Drosophila melanogaster: one gene and its partner. The protein of the gene in region 1 interacts with the protein of each later gene in a biochemical or structural test. Each region holds a gene or a part of one and is shown on either strand. Other genes may lie near its edges.

Region 1 (6,808 bases):
GCTTCAAAAGCTGCCATATAGTTTAAAGTGTTGTAAATATTTGCGATACAACAATGTTTGCACTTGGTTTGAAATTCACAGCCATTTTTTACAGAGCTTTACGCCATTTTTTGCGCTTCTCGTAGATCGAATGATTTAGGTTTCTTTTGCAAGTTTATTTATTATTTTTATAGCTGGATTTTGACATGGATTTAGTGGGCGATATTTTGTTTAGCCCGTTAAACAAATATTTGACGTGCAGCGGGCCTGAATCGTACAAAAGTAATTGCTGCCGATAGCACAGGGAATATTTGGACATCGAAGTGTCATACTTTAAGTTGAAGAGCTCGCAATTTAATTTCATTGGATCCTGCGCAGCAGATGGAGGCTCCTTGGCCTGGCCTAATTGAATTTTCACTAATCCAATAGATTAAGAAGCAGCAGCAAGAGTTGCTCCGTAGTTGCTTGTAATGCAATGCAAAAACAATAACAAAATTATGCTGGCCAACAGAAGGAGCCGCTGACAAGTCTAAGGACATCCTAAGAGACTCCCAGGATGACCTCAAAAGTGCAGGGCAAGTTGCGAAAAACAGTCGACTCTTGGTCCCTAAGAAGAGGCTTAGTTTTCCCTTACCATGCACTGTCTTTGTTTGTTATGTTTTTCAATTACAAAAATTTAATTAGCTGCGAAAAGAGAACGACTTCTCCGTGGTAAATTTAAATCATGCATAAATTAGGAAATTTCCGCATTCCCACGTTTACTTAGCGGCACATTGGGCGCCACAATTAATTATATGTTGACATGACATTTATTTGACTTGCATAAATTAGTCAATTAGTTGATGAACGTTAATAAAGTTTATGGTGAACCGCTAGGAAAGGTGTAAGCGGGTTTATTAGTTGCGTTCTGGTTCATTGGGAAAAAGAGACACAATTCTTAGGACTCAACTTAGTTGAAAGAACATCTATCATAATTTTTTTTCTTTTTTATATATGGTCACATATATGGTCAATTCTTACTTGTTATACTCCACATTTTTAGCCACATTTAAAGACTAAGATAAATGATAATATTTACTCAAAAGTTCACATTGTTTCAAAAGCAATCGAATTCACCTTATTCACTTTACTCAAAGTCTCCCACTTGACCATTTGGCAGTGGTTCCTACTGCTGTCAGCAGATAGAAAATTTCTTGAAGGGCAAGAAAAGTGGAGAGGAGGTCCTGGAAAGATCTTGATGGTTGTAGGTTGTGTGCTCGCCGAACATTTTATCGCCTGCACTCAACGAAAAGGTGAATGACGATGGACGCACCAAATTTTCGACACATTGTGGCGTCCGTCTCTGTGTGAGTATGTGAGATGCACATGGCGTATACGCAATAAAAGAGCGACACTCAAAGCCGTGGTTATCAGAGGAGCTTTCCCCGGCCCTCATGCTTGTCGTCATTAGATTAGAGTGGAGCAAGCCCAGCGGAAGAGAGATAGAGATGAATGAGTGACAGAGAGGGAGGGAACACACAGCGAAATGTCATAGTAAAAAAAAAAATTAATTAGATGCGAAAATTATAATGATTCCTAAATAATAGGGCGATGAATAAAATTTGCTTCCGAGTTTATTTTATTTAACCTTTACAATTTTAATCTATTCTTTAAAGTGAAATATAAGTTTCATATAAGAGAACGAATAATTCAAAAATATTGCAATGTGAGTCAATCAACACTCTTTAAGATCAAAAATACTTGTTTTATCAACGATTTTGTTCGTATGCTTTTTGCTAAGTGCACGAATTTCATGCACACATCGAGGAGACAAAAATTAAACTATGGGGCGTTGCCTTGCTAGGATGTGCGTTAAATTGTAAAACACGAGGGGCTGTGTGGTGCGAGTTTTTACTGGGGAGGGGACTGTGGGGCAAAGGGGCAAAGGGGCAAAAGGACTGCGCCCAGCTGGCCAGTGTTATCCTGGCTGTCATGCTGTGGCCAGTTCTCGTTTATTTTGCGTATTAGACGCTGCTATTTTGTGCTTATTGTCGCCATGGTCCTCTCTGTCTGGCAGCCATGTCCTGCCGTGTCCTGTTATTTTTCGCTTGTTTGGTTCCTTCGGTGCCATTGTCAGCTCATTTGTAATTTTTGGCACAACGATTTCAAATTAAGCAACCGGAAATGAGCTGACATTTTGTATTCTGTTTCCCATTTGCTGTTCGTTCGTTTCGCTTTGAAATGCTCGCATTCGGTAGTGCGCAGCTTAACGGCACTTTAGCGGTTATTCGTCAGGATCGAGATCCATAGGGGCAATCATCATCGTATCCGCTTGGCCGTCGTCGTTATCATCTCCAAACACCCCACACACTCCTCCGCCTGCTGCCTTTCAAGTTATCTTGTCTATTATGACAATATTAATATTTACATTTTACAGTTATTGTCTAGCCAAAGCTTTCTCACACAGGATATCCACCACCATGGATATATGTATGTATATCAAATATATGTGTCTACATATAGATTCGTGTTCTCATGTATCCTTTCTATTTTGTTTGCTGCCAGTGCTGCTTGTCATGTTTGCTGGCTCGTATGCATTTGGTATTTTCTTGTTTATTGCTTTATGTTTCAACCGCTGCTGCTCTATTTTCCACCCGTCCTACAGTTTTCTCCATGGATACTGCATCTTGTCAATATGGTTTCCATTTTGCATGTTGTGCATTAGTTCCGTTTGTTGTTGACCACTTTAGTCGCTGTCTCCTAAGGTTCAGGCTTCAGTTTCTCCTTTTCATGGATGCCACGCCAGTAAATTTTAATTCTCGATTTATTTAAATTTCATTTAAAAGAGATTCAATTTATATTCAATTTCAATGCAGGACTTCATTTTATTTACTAGCTGCGTACAACTAATCGTACCGTTTAGTGTAATAGCCATTAAGATTTTTGTTAGACCTTAGTTTAAAGAAAAGGTTAGGAGAACACGAATTAGTATTAATAGTAAATAAATATGTTGATGTTATTATAATAATTAAACGGGGATTCCTGTTTCCTGAGAATTACATTACCCAATGTAAGTTTACAGAGTCTGTTAAGTTATCAGTTAAATAAATCCCAATGAATCCCTGTTAACAAGCAACTCACTTTTCGAACACGAAAGCTTTTCATCAACGAAACACAACCTCTCTTTTAGCTGCTTTCTCCCGCACTCTCTGAAATTTCCCCAGCCTCGGCTCGTGTTTCGTCAAGTGCCGAGTGGCTCAGCTCTTTATTCTGTGCTCTCGCTGGCAGGACACGAGTACGTACAGCCGAATTCCTTCGATTCCAGCTTCTACTTAACAGCATCGGCATCGGGTCCTTCAGCAGCAGCTGCTGTTGTTGGGATTCCGGCGAGGGCCGACAGCTTCCTGCCGCTGATGCTTCAGTTACGTTGATAATGTCAAATCGTTTGGTTCGCTCTGCTGTCGCCATCGCCCACGGGTGCAACCACAACAACAGTGCCAACGACGAGGGCCAGCGAGCTAATAAATTTTAATAAAATCCCCATCACAACAAAGAATAAACAACAGCGCAACCAGACAACACAAAAAATTCGTATAACAAAAATTGCGAAAGAATCTGCAGTTCGGCGGGCCAAGCAAATGCCCGCTAAAAAAAAGTGTCAGAATTTGTGAAAATTAATATTTCACCAGAGATTTGAGTGTTTCCAAAACAAACAAAAAAAAACCCGAACACTGCAAACAGGACAAACTTTTTCGTTTCGCCAAACTTTTATTTCGTACACACTTTTTTGGTCCTACGCGATTTGCTCGCGAAAATTATGAAAAATATGTGAGAAATGTGCAAAATCCGCAAAATACTAAAGTAAGGGCATAGGTCAAGCCCTATTCTCCAGTGCGGGATATATATTCTGGACGGGCCAAAAATCCCCTGACGTTGTCCTTTCAGTAAACCAAACCCACCCACCGCCCATCTAGTGTCATGTGTATGTGCGAAAAGAAAAGCAGCCAAGTTGAGTGTGTGTGCGCCTGGGTGTGGGAAGTCGTGTAACGTGCTAAAATAAGTTAATTTATTGCCGGCACAACAACAATCACAACACACAAAGACAACAACTGCCGGCAGTCATAACATTTGTGTTGTTCACCAGTTACCCAAAGGTGAGTTACTTTCAGTTGAGCGTTCCGACTGGGTGATGATGATATCTGTATCTGTGATTTTGCTCCGGCTTTTTGTTGGGACTCTTAAAATATAATTTACGGTCATGTAGGCTGTGGATTTTGCAAAACCAAGCAGATTTTTGGCAGGAGAAATATGTTTCGGCAGTGCGATTACACACAAATAAAATAAAAAATAAATTTCTAGATTAGCTTTGAAAATTAGGATTCATTAAACAAAAAAAACTCCAAAGAATGAATGACCATGTAGTTCTAATCTTTTGTCCAGATTACTGTAACCAATCATTTAAGAAGCAAACTGATTTTGTGCCGTAAAAGACGCTTTAAGCTAATTACTCATGCTGTAATAATCTGCATTAGACATAATTCGATTTGCTTGACACTTCGTAATAACTAATTTATCCAAGTAGATGAATAGCTCAGAATAATGAAAGGACTTGTGCCGTAAGTCACTTTACAATTAGGTGTTTGTAAAATTAATTAACATTATAGAATTTTAGTAGTGGATATAATAGTTCTGTGTCGCCCTTTACCGACTCAGCAAAGGCAATTTCCCATTGTGAAAAACAATGGATGTACCGCTATTAAAAATTCAGTTGACCCAGTATGTTGATATTTACATTTGAACAATACATTTCTGAGTGAAACAATTTTAGCCCATATTTGATGGTAACTTTTGGATAATAACCAGGTGGTTAAAATATCAGAATACAAACCCGTTCAAATGCTTTCGAGAACATTATTCACCGGATATGCCTCTGGCGACTCGACAAAGTGTTTTTGTGGAAACCGACAATAAAAATTATGCCGTTCATTTAACTTGTTTGGGCGGAGATTCGTCTGAAGAAAGTGATGGAATGGCCAATTGTAAGTGAAAAGAAAATGTAAAATATTCATTCAGATCTTGTTAATTTGTTGCATAGATTTGGTTCAGACCTACGCCACTGAAAAAAGGCCATCAGTTAGAATTATGAAGAAAATTTTGCAGGCGCACAAAAGGCACGGCTTGGAGTTGAAGTTTCTAAAATATTGCGTGTAAATATATTGGAAAAAATTATTTATTCCCATTGAAAAGTGGTCTGTAGCCAATAACTAGACTAAGAAATATCATGCTAATTGAAAATTTTTATCAGACCATTTGCGTTTTTGTTTTTGAGCTTCCTTATCAAAACTAATGTATTGGTTTGTGAACCAAATTACATTGAGGTTTAATTAAAAAAGAAATTTATGGCTAGGAGCGCGTCAATTTGTTTTCAACTGTGGCAGTTTTTAAACGAAAATATTTTGGTGACTGGAACCGTTGTCAAAAAGTTCGTTCAATTGACCTGTCTTCGCTATTCAAGCGTGGCTAAAAAATACAACCGAATAGCTGAACAAAAACTGTCAGATCCATGACCTACATAAGTACGTCGTGTAACCAAATAGATTGGAAGGTTTTCGAACGAATATTTTGTTTTTCCCCTGCATTCGCTTCGTATGCAAAACCAAAACAAGCAGCTTTCAGATTTTGACCATTTTTCCATTGTTTTGCTAGTCTCTCGAATGGAAACTTTTGCCTGCCCATTTCATTCGTTTTTTGCGGGCTAGCTAACAAAAGTTCGAATGTTAAATGATTTTCATGGCGCAAACTTTGGCAACCCTGAAACTGGACCCCGGTCATTTGTTAGCCTGTCAGAAAGGCAACAAAAATGGGCGCAAATATGCAAGTCTGGCTGACACGTGAATTTATTGCATTCAAAAATATGAAAAGTTCCAATAAAAAGTGCAACAACAGGGTACTACAGGGTATTAGTACAGCGGGCCAAAGCAGCCCCATTCCCAGCAATTTTTGCATTTGTTCGGCACAAAATAGAAAGGTGGCGCACAACCGCCGCTGCAACATCCGCAGTTGCAGGTGCATTTCATGCAGGGCAGCAGGGGACCCACGGGGCCGTAGGTCAAGCGGTACGAGACCACGGCACAGGGCGGTGGGCCACAGCATCCGCCACTGGATCCACCACATGAACCGCCACATGATCCGCCGCAGGATCCGCCGCAGCATCCTCCTGTACCGCCCCTGCAACAGGAACCACCAACACAGCAGGATCCACAGCAGCCACCTCCGCCGCAGGGCTTACAACCAGACCCACAGGATCCAAACTGCGGTCGGCATCGCGGTGCAGCACAACTCATCCTAGAAATTACTTAGCCCTTTGCAACCTGTTGCTAAGTACTTGCCGCTAAAAAAAATGCTAAATACTCCGGGGCAGTGATGGACAGTCAGCTCACAGCTCCAGGCGCCTATTTAGCACCTTTTTTGTCCGCCAATAGTCACAAGTCCACTGGGAAAATTTTATAATTCCTGTCGAATAAAAACTCTTGCAGTTTCCTCAAGTATTTACTGGAAAAGTGACACCAAAGGCAAGGATACATGCGGTTGAAAACATTTTAAATTAGAATCGTATCGAATAAACATATATTGGAGACTAAGTAATTCCATGTATAATTTGCAATTTATATGGTAACTTAACGATTTTTCTTCCTATAAAAGTCTATAAAAGTACTTTTATTCCATCACTCTATTTTTGTCACCAAAACATTGCAATTAAAATTACATCTCAATTACACATCCTGCCTTGCGGTACCATTTAAAACCGACGTATGGTCGCTAGGAATATCCAACCAGAACCACCACGCTT
Region 2 (6,601 bases), on another chromosome or scaffold:
GGGCAGAGTACCGTTGGGTACCGCTGGATGGCTTACTGGGCGGACAATGCCCGTGCGAAAAATGCAAATTGCGAGTGGCGGAATGAAGTGAATGAAGTGAATGGGCGCCGAATGATGGAATGAATGAATGAGTGAGTGATTGTTGCTGTGAGCCGTGAGCAGTAAGCCAGACATTTAGAGGAATTTGCGCTGTCCTGATAAATAGCCAACGCTTTTGGCCTAGCTTCAACTTGGCCTGCCCCATATGCCATAATTTATGCAAATTAATTTATAAAAATATATGTGTAGCTGTGCTGTTACGGTGGTAGAGCCGTCATGAACGCGGACATTTTTCATGCAAGTGCGTCAGTTTTTTCGAAAGTACATAAACATAGTGTGCCTTAAAGTAGACCCATTTATATGGCTTTATGCTTTATGCGTAATTTCAGGCGCTGACATTTATGATGAATGTCCATTTACACCAACCTTCAAGCCAATAGAAACTGCAGATGATTTTAAATCTGAACGCAAATCGATGGAGTTACAAAACGTTTTGTTTTCAAAAAAGCAAGATACTAAAAGAAAGATCATAATTTTGGAATATTGTTCCACAGCTATTGTTTGATGATCAAATATAATCTTTTTGAAACTCATTGCATTTAAACCTTCATTATGTTTGTTATTGATTTAATATAATGACCTATGTCCCTTGTTGGGTAATAACAATAACAATAGATCATTGTCATCCGTCTGCTACTAGTGCTGTGAGCTCTGCTGTAAACACAATATATTTATGAGTCTTCAGTTATGTTGCCGTGACGACTGACGAGTGAGTGGACTGCCCTTTGGCCTGTGACTGGAAGTCAGACTCATAGTCAGACGTGTATTCGTTTGCATTCTGAAAGACTTTATATGAATTTGATTCGATATCCTAGGCATCTAGTGGGCGGCCACATTAAATTCAATCGGTGTAGCACACAAGTGATTGAAACATGTGTAAATTTTACTGTCAATAGTCTCAGACAATTTTCGTAACGCGCCGCTAAAATGCCCGAAAAACCATCAGCAAAGTCGGCTCCGAGGCCCCTGACCAGCATAAAGGGGACCAGGCCCTCCACATCCTCATCCAATCCCACCACCAGCAGGAGCAAACCCACAGGAACTGGAGTGGTTCGACCACCATTGCCAAATGCACACGATAGGGTAAGATTTTTTAGATTTTTTGCAAATGAGAATATAATCGATGAATTAATCACTACATCCTAATGTTTGGATTCGATTCGACTAATTGAATTACAAACACCTATGCATGAGTAATTGAATCCCCTCTTTTCATTATACGTTATAAAAATGGTGGCAACTGAATAACAATAACAATATCTTTATGAATAATTGCTTTTTCAATAATGAGAAATGTACAGCTGTTTTTAACTCAGCTATTTCGATAACAAGAAAGTTGAATATATTAACTGTTGAAAATTTTACAGATTTGGAAGATTATGAAGATGTAATAATATCTAAAAATATTCGGTAAGTTATTAAAATTTGAATAACTGTTGACTTATGATTTTATGATTTCAGGTCCCCAAATTGGATCCACGTTTTAAATCCTGATATTCTTTTTTTATAAAATGTACGGATTCTTTGACGTCTAAAGCGCTGAATAAAGCGAATAAATCCCAAAAGGGAAATTACTCTTATAATTTCTTGATAAGCTGACTGGAAGTTGGAATAAGCGCAGGCGCTTGTCCTCGCAGAGAAGAGAGTAGTGTTTGAGCTTGTTGGGAAATTTTCTCTTTAAGGGGTACTTTTCATCTCAGTTTGCCTGAAGCTGGCTTTGAGTCTTAAAAAAATATTTAAGTCAATAAGAGTGTTAACTGGTATTATTTTTACTATAAGGGGCTTATTAAAAACGTCAAGAAACTTGTCCGCTGTCCTTTTTATGGATACTTAAGACGTACAAAAAGTTGCTGAATAACTTTAGATAAATAGGATGGTTTTAAAATGATTAGTGGGTTCATAGCTTGAAGAAGGATAGTTCTTGGTCACATTGGTACCAGCAAAGATAAAAAAACGTCAATAATACAAACATTTGATAAACATAATGGAGATATTTCATTCGTAAATAAAACTGTAACTCAACTTATGGACAGTTCTCTATTTAAAATCATCCTGCAGGACGAGAATGTAAAATTGCTTGGGATAGGCCTACCTTGGCAGTTCCTTAAATGCAATTTAAACCAAAACAAACTCAAGCTGCCGATACACTCTCTTCGCCGAGCTCGTGCCATTTTTACTTTCATTCGGTAATTGAGTGAAAACGAGGTTGGTCCTCCGAGGGACCTCTTCGCGCGACGAGCGCAAAAGTCCCCGAGATGGAATCGACCGAGCCAAAGGATATTTTGGTGCTCGGCAGCGTTTTTGCCAATGCCGTGGCTCAGTTTCGTATTCGTGTCGGAACGTGGCGCTACGGTCTTCTGCTCAACGATACGCGAAAATCCAATCCGCTGGAGGAGCAAAACGCGGCGCGTGGAACCCACAAAACAAGCAAGCAAGCCAAACGAAAAAGGAAGCTAAAGCACAACTCATTCGGTCGAGTGTGCCTGTGTGAGAGTGTGTGAGTGCCGGAATATCTGTGTGAGTGGATCGGTCCTGTGTTGTTTGGGCCATTTAATTTTATTAGCGCTCCGCGATGCGTCATTAAAATTGCAGGCAAAACACAGAAATACAATGAATGAAAAATTAAATATTAATTAAAATTTGCATACGAATCGAGCGGCGAGCGCTGCGATTCCGCTGATTGAAATGTTAAATAGATATTAAAAATTGATGGTGTATTTCGGTCACATTTCGTTCGTCGGTCATTCTGCCGGAAAAGTCAGACTGAGCCGTGGCCCCTACAATTCATACATATACACACATCCTTACAATTATGTGTATTGGCATCTTGGCCATCGGGAGTGCGTGTATATGACTTTATTAAACTTGTAAGTCCCCAACTCGCGCGACCTTTTGCACATTGTTTGTGGACTTTGCGAGTGCTCCAGATTTGCCAACCATTTGTTGGTGCACTTATCGCGATTGCCGCACGGATTGCTTCACCTGCAACCTGCAACCTGCCACCTGCACCTGCCACCAACATTCTGCACCCTGCCGCGTCCTCGAAAAGTGCGTATGGAACTGCAAGTTAATTAAGTATTTGACTCTGCATATGACAAATCCCGGTTTAAGCGAAAAGCGACTTTAATTCGCAATTCGAAACGGGTTTCGTTAATGTTTATCGTCTTGTTCTCGATTAAATCGGCTGTCGCGGGCGTAATATATTCATGGAATCCTTCTGCGTGCTGCACTTAATAGCATTTAACTGGCAATTAATTGCCTTGAGCTCAGCCACCCACTGGTCAAGGAATCGATGTATTTGTTTCGTCAGCAGAACACCAATACATTTTTAATGTGTTATTATGGACATTTTTCAATTAAAATTCCCAAGCGAATAGGGTTATTAGCAAAACAAATGAATACAAATATTTCCGAAGCCCATTATACAATGGGAAATTGAAGACAAAGTTAAAAATTATATACATTCGTTAAAGGCATTTCCCGTATTCCTTTTTGAATAAAATTCGCTCGAACAAAGGAAAACTTCTCAGTGCCAAATCAAAATAAAAATGATAAAGCATTGTGCAGATTTGTACCAGCATTTGACCGAAATTTATGGCCGCCTCCTGCACAAAGTGGTTTAAGCCAGTTAGCCCGGCCATGAAAGCTGCTTACAACAAGCCAAAGAGTACGCCAAAAACCGGGCTCAGATAGGCCCAAGGACAGACAATCGGCAAGTGGGCTTATTTGCAAGGGCCGGGCTAAGCATTTTGGCCAGACAGCCGGCATCTGCACTTACCTATCTGCGGCAGCAGCACGTTTTATAATATTTATGCATGTCCCTGCCAACAGGAGATGTGCACTCATAGTTAGGGGGTTGAGGGTTTCGAGAAGCAGGGGGATTTCCGTGCCAGGACTTTAGGGGTTCATGAGCTGAAAAATAAACTCGACGGGTAGCGTGGATCTGGAGTGTGTGTAGAGGCACTCTGACATTTGCCAAAAGTAACACTCCACTCTCAAGTGGGCCAGGACATCCAATGGGATGCATATCCGAGTGGTAGGCGCATCCGAGAATTACATTTAAAATTATTTTACTTGGCAGGGGCTAGGGCAAACAAACCAACACAAACACAAGCACATCAACAAATACAAATACAGATACAGGAAAAACAGAAGCCGGGCAACAGATGCCTCAACAACAAAATTAACGAAATAAAAACAAGCCAAGAAAAACAAAACAAGTGCAGCCAGAGAAACACGCACAATACGTTTTTTTTTAGTGGATGTGGAATGGAATTAACCCATTTAGAAACTCGCTTCCACATTCGGGGGCATTTTCCTTACTTTTTCTGTAAGCATTATTTGCAACCTTTATTTGTTTTGGAAAAATGTACCAAATTTTATATTTATTACATAGTGAATGCAAATGTTGCTACTAATTTATGAAAGCACAATGCAAATGGGTGTTCTAAGCCTTAAACAGTTCTAGATGGTCTATTAATTTTCAAATTTCCGTTATAATGGAATAATATTTGCTTAAATGATGGCGATAGGTTTTCCCAGATCCTGAGTAAATAACGGGTTAACTGCGAATGGCTGGCAGAAAGCCGAACGAACATCTCGACGCCCACTTGGCTGCTTGGTCGTTTACACAAGCTCAACATTTCTGACAGTGGCACTCGCAAAACGAGGAACATGTGGAGCAGCTGTGGAAAAAGATTGATTCTTCGCTGCTCGGGAACGCAGAAAAAAGGACCAAGTGCCTAAGCAACAGCGAGCCCCTGGGTCCTTGACTTTTCCTTTGAACTATTGCAGTGGCCGAGACCGTTTGTTTTGCTTATTCCCCATTTGTTGCTTGCTTACAGCTGTCCGAATTTATTACGGCCAAAACAAATCGGTAAACTTTCTATGCCGACTTGCAGCAACTTTCACGTACTGAGGCTTTCCCTGTGCACTTGCTCCTGCCTTCGCATTCGTGTTGGCCTTTTGTCATAAAGCTTAACACATAAAAATGTTATTGTCCGATGTGGAGTTGTGTGGCTTATGCTGATTTGTGTTGACCTAGTGAGCTTCCAAGGCAACGGAAGAGAATCGGGCTCAGAATCGGAATGAAGTATGGACGTTTTATGATCGTAAGGCTGATTTAGGATTCCCAAGTGAAAGCTTTAAGGACTAGAAGCAAAAGCGATGCGAGTAGGACGCCGAAAGGCGTTGCATATCCGGGCACCAATTATTGGAATGCTCGTAAAATTCCGGCTTACATAGAGAAAATGTAGGAAAATGTGTCTGGTATAGCTCTACCTACAAATTTAAAGTAACTTATTCCATTCGGTTGGGTTTATGGAATTTGATGAACCAGCTTTCAAAGAAGCCAGAAAAAAAGTTCAGCTTATAAAAGAAATTTGACATGGTTCTTTATAATACAGTTTAAAGTTATTTTATTTAGTTTAACAAGAAATTGTATTATACCAAACAGAAATTACATTTTACTGCAGTTTAATACAAATATATTACGCATTTCATTGACGGAAAAATAGTACTCTTGAAATCAGCACAAAATATAGTTGTAATGTAGCCTCACGAAATCTTTTAGTGGATATCGTAATTTATACTAATAAAGATAGAAGAAACATTTTCGAAATTGGAAGAACATATTAATGTTTTTGCACGAAAGCATAAGCAATCTCTTATAATAATAAAAATTAATTTTGTCAGTTTATTTTAGTTTGCTTAATATTTTTGTAAAATTGAAACCAATAAAGTATATCTAGGCAAGAAAAATCCGCAAAGGCGATAAAACCGAAAAACAATCCGAATTTGGATGAGTCAAATACTCAAATTAATGATGTGGACATATATACTTAGTTCCTCTAAACTATTGTGGACCTATGCGCTCTCCATTTGCCTGCAACAAAATTGAAACCAATAAATTACTAAGCCTTCTCAAGCTAAAGGAGTTATTAGCTTAAAAAATAAACAAAGCCGACGTAATGGCGGACACTTAACCCTTATCGAGTCCAAAGTTAACCTGTAATTGCGCCACTTGAGCATTTAACTCCCAGTAAGCTCGGTGAAAGCGTTATGGGGGCTCCGCTCTCATCGGGAATTACACTTCATTTGCCTAACCAAACTGGCCCCCGAAAAGAGTTTTCCGACCGGAGTTTGCGCAAAGTTTTAACTCTTATCTGTTGTCTATCAGGAAATTTTATGCGATTTTGTTTACCTATTTTAATGAGAGCCGAAAAATGCTCGCAACAGAGCGGCGATGAGCGAACGGAGACGGAAAGGCAAGGAAGCACACACAAACTGGCTGTGGCTGGTGGGAAAAGTGAGAAAAGCCCTGGTGGAAAACCAGGTCAAAGCAAACCGAACGAAAGGGCCGAAAATTTATGCAAAACTCAAAAAAAAAACAAAACAAACCGGGAGCGGCTGGGAAAGGCACGAAAGGACATACACACAATGCAAGGACCATGTCCGAAATGAAAGTGCGAATATGTAGTCGTGGGGGCTCGTAGGTGTGTAG

Evidence for each region.
Region 2: the proteins of beat-Ic (region 1) and side-III form a complex in vitro, tested with the Drosophila melanogaster proteins (one study listed by BioGRID).

What each region holds. Positions count from the first base shown.
Region 1 is NT_033779.5:15,997,143-16,003,950, forward strand, and holds the start of beat-Ic (beaten path Ic), read left to right. Parts: upstream 1-3,148; 5' UTR 3,149-4,112; intron 4,113-4,642; exon of another isoform or gene 4,643-4,734; intron 4,735-4,786; exon of another isoform or gene 4,787-4,997; intron 4,998-5,053; exon of another isoform or gene 5,054-5,259; intron 5,260-5,838; exon of another isoform or gene 5,839-5,918; coding exon of another isoform or gene 5,919-6,302; exon of another isoform or gene 6,303-6,499; intron 6,500-6,613; exon of another isoform or gene 6,614-6,808. Other genes in the region: CG34167 (uncharacterized protein), read right to left, coding at 5,919-6,302.
Region 2 is NT_033777.3:5,955,371-5,961,971, reverse strand, and holds the start of side-III (sidestep III), read left to right. Parts: upstream 1-2,416; 5' UTR 2,417-3,147; intron 3,148-6,601. Other genes in the region: CG11373 (uncharacterized protein), read left to right, coding at 1,027-1,182, 1,467-1,490.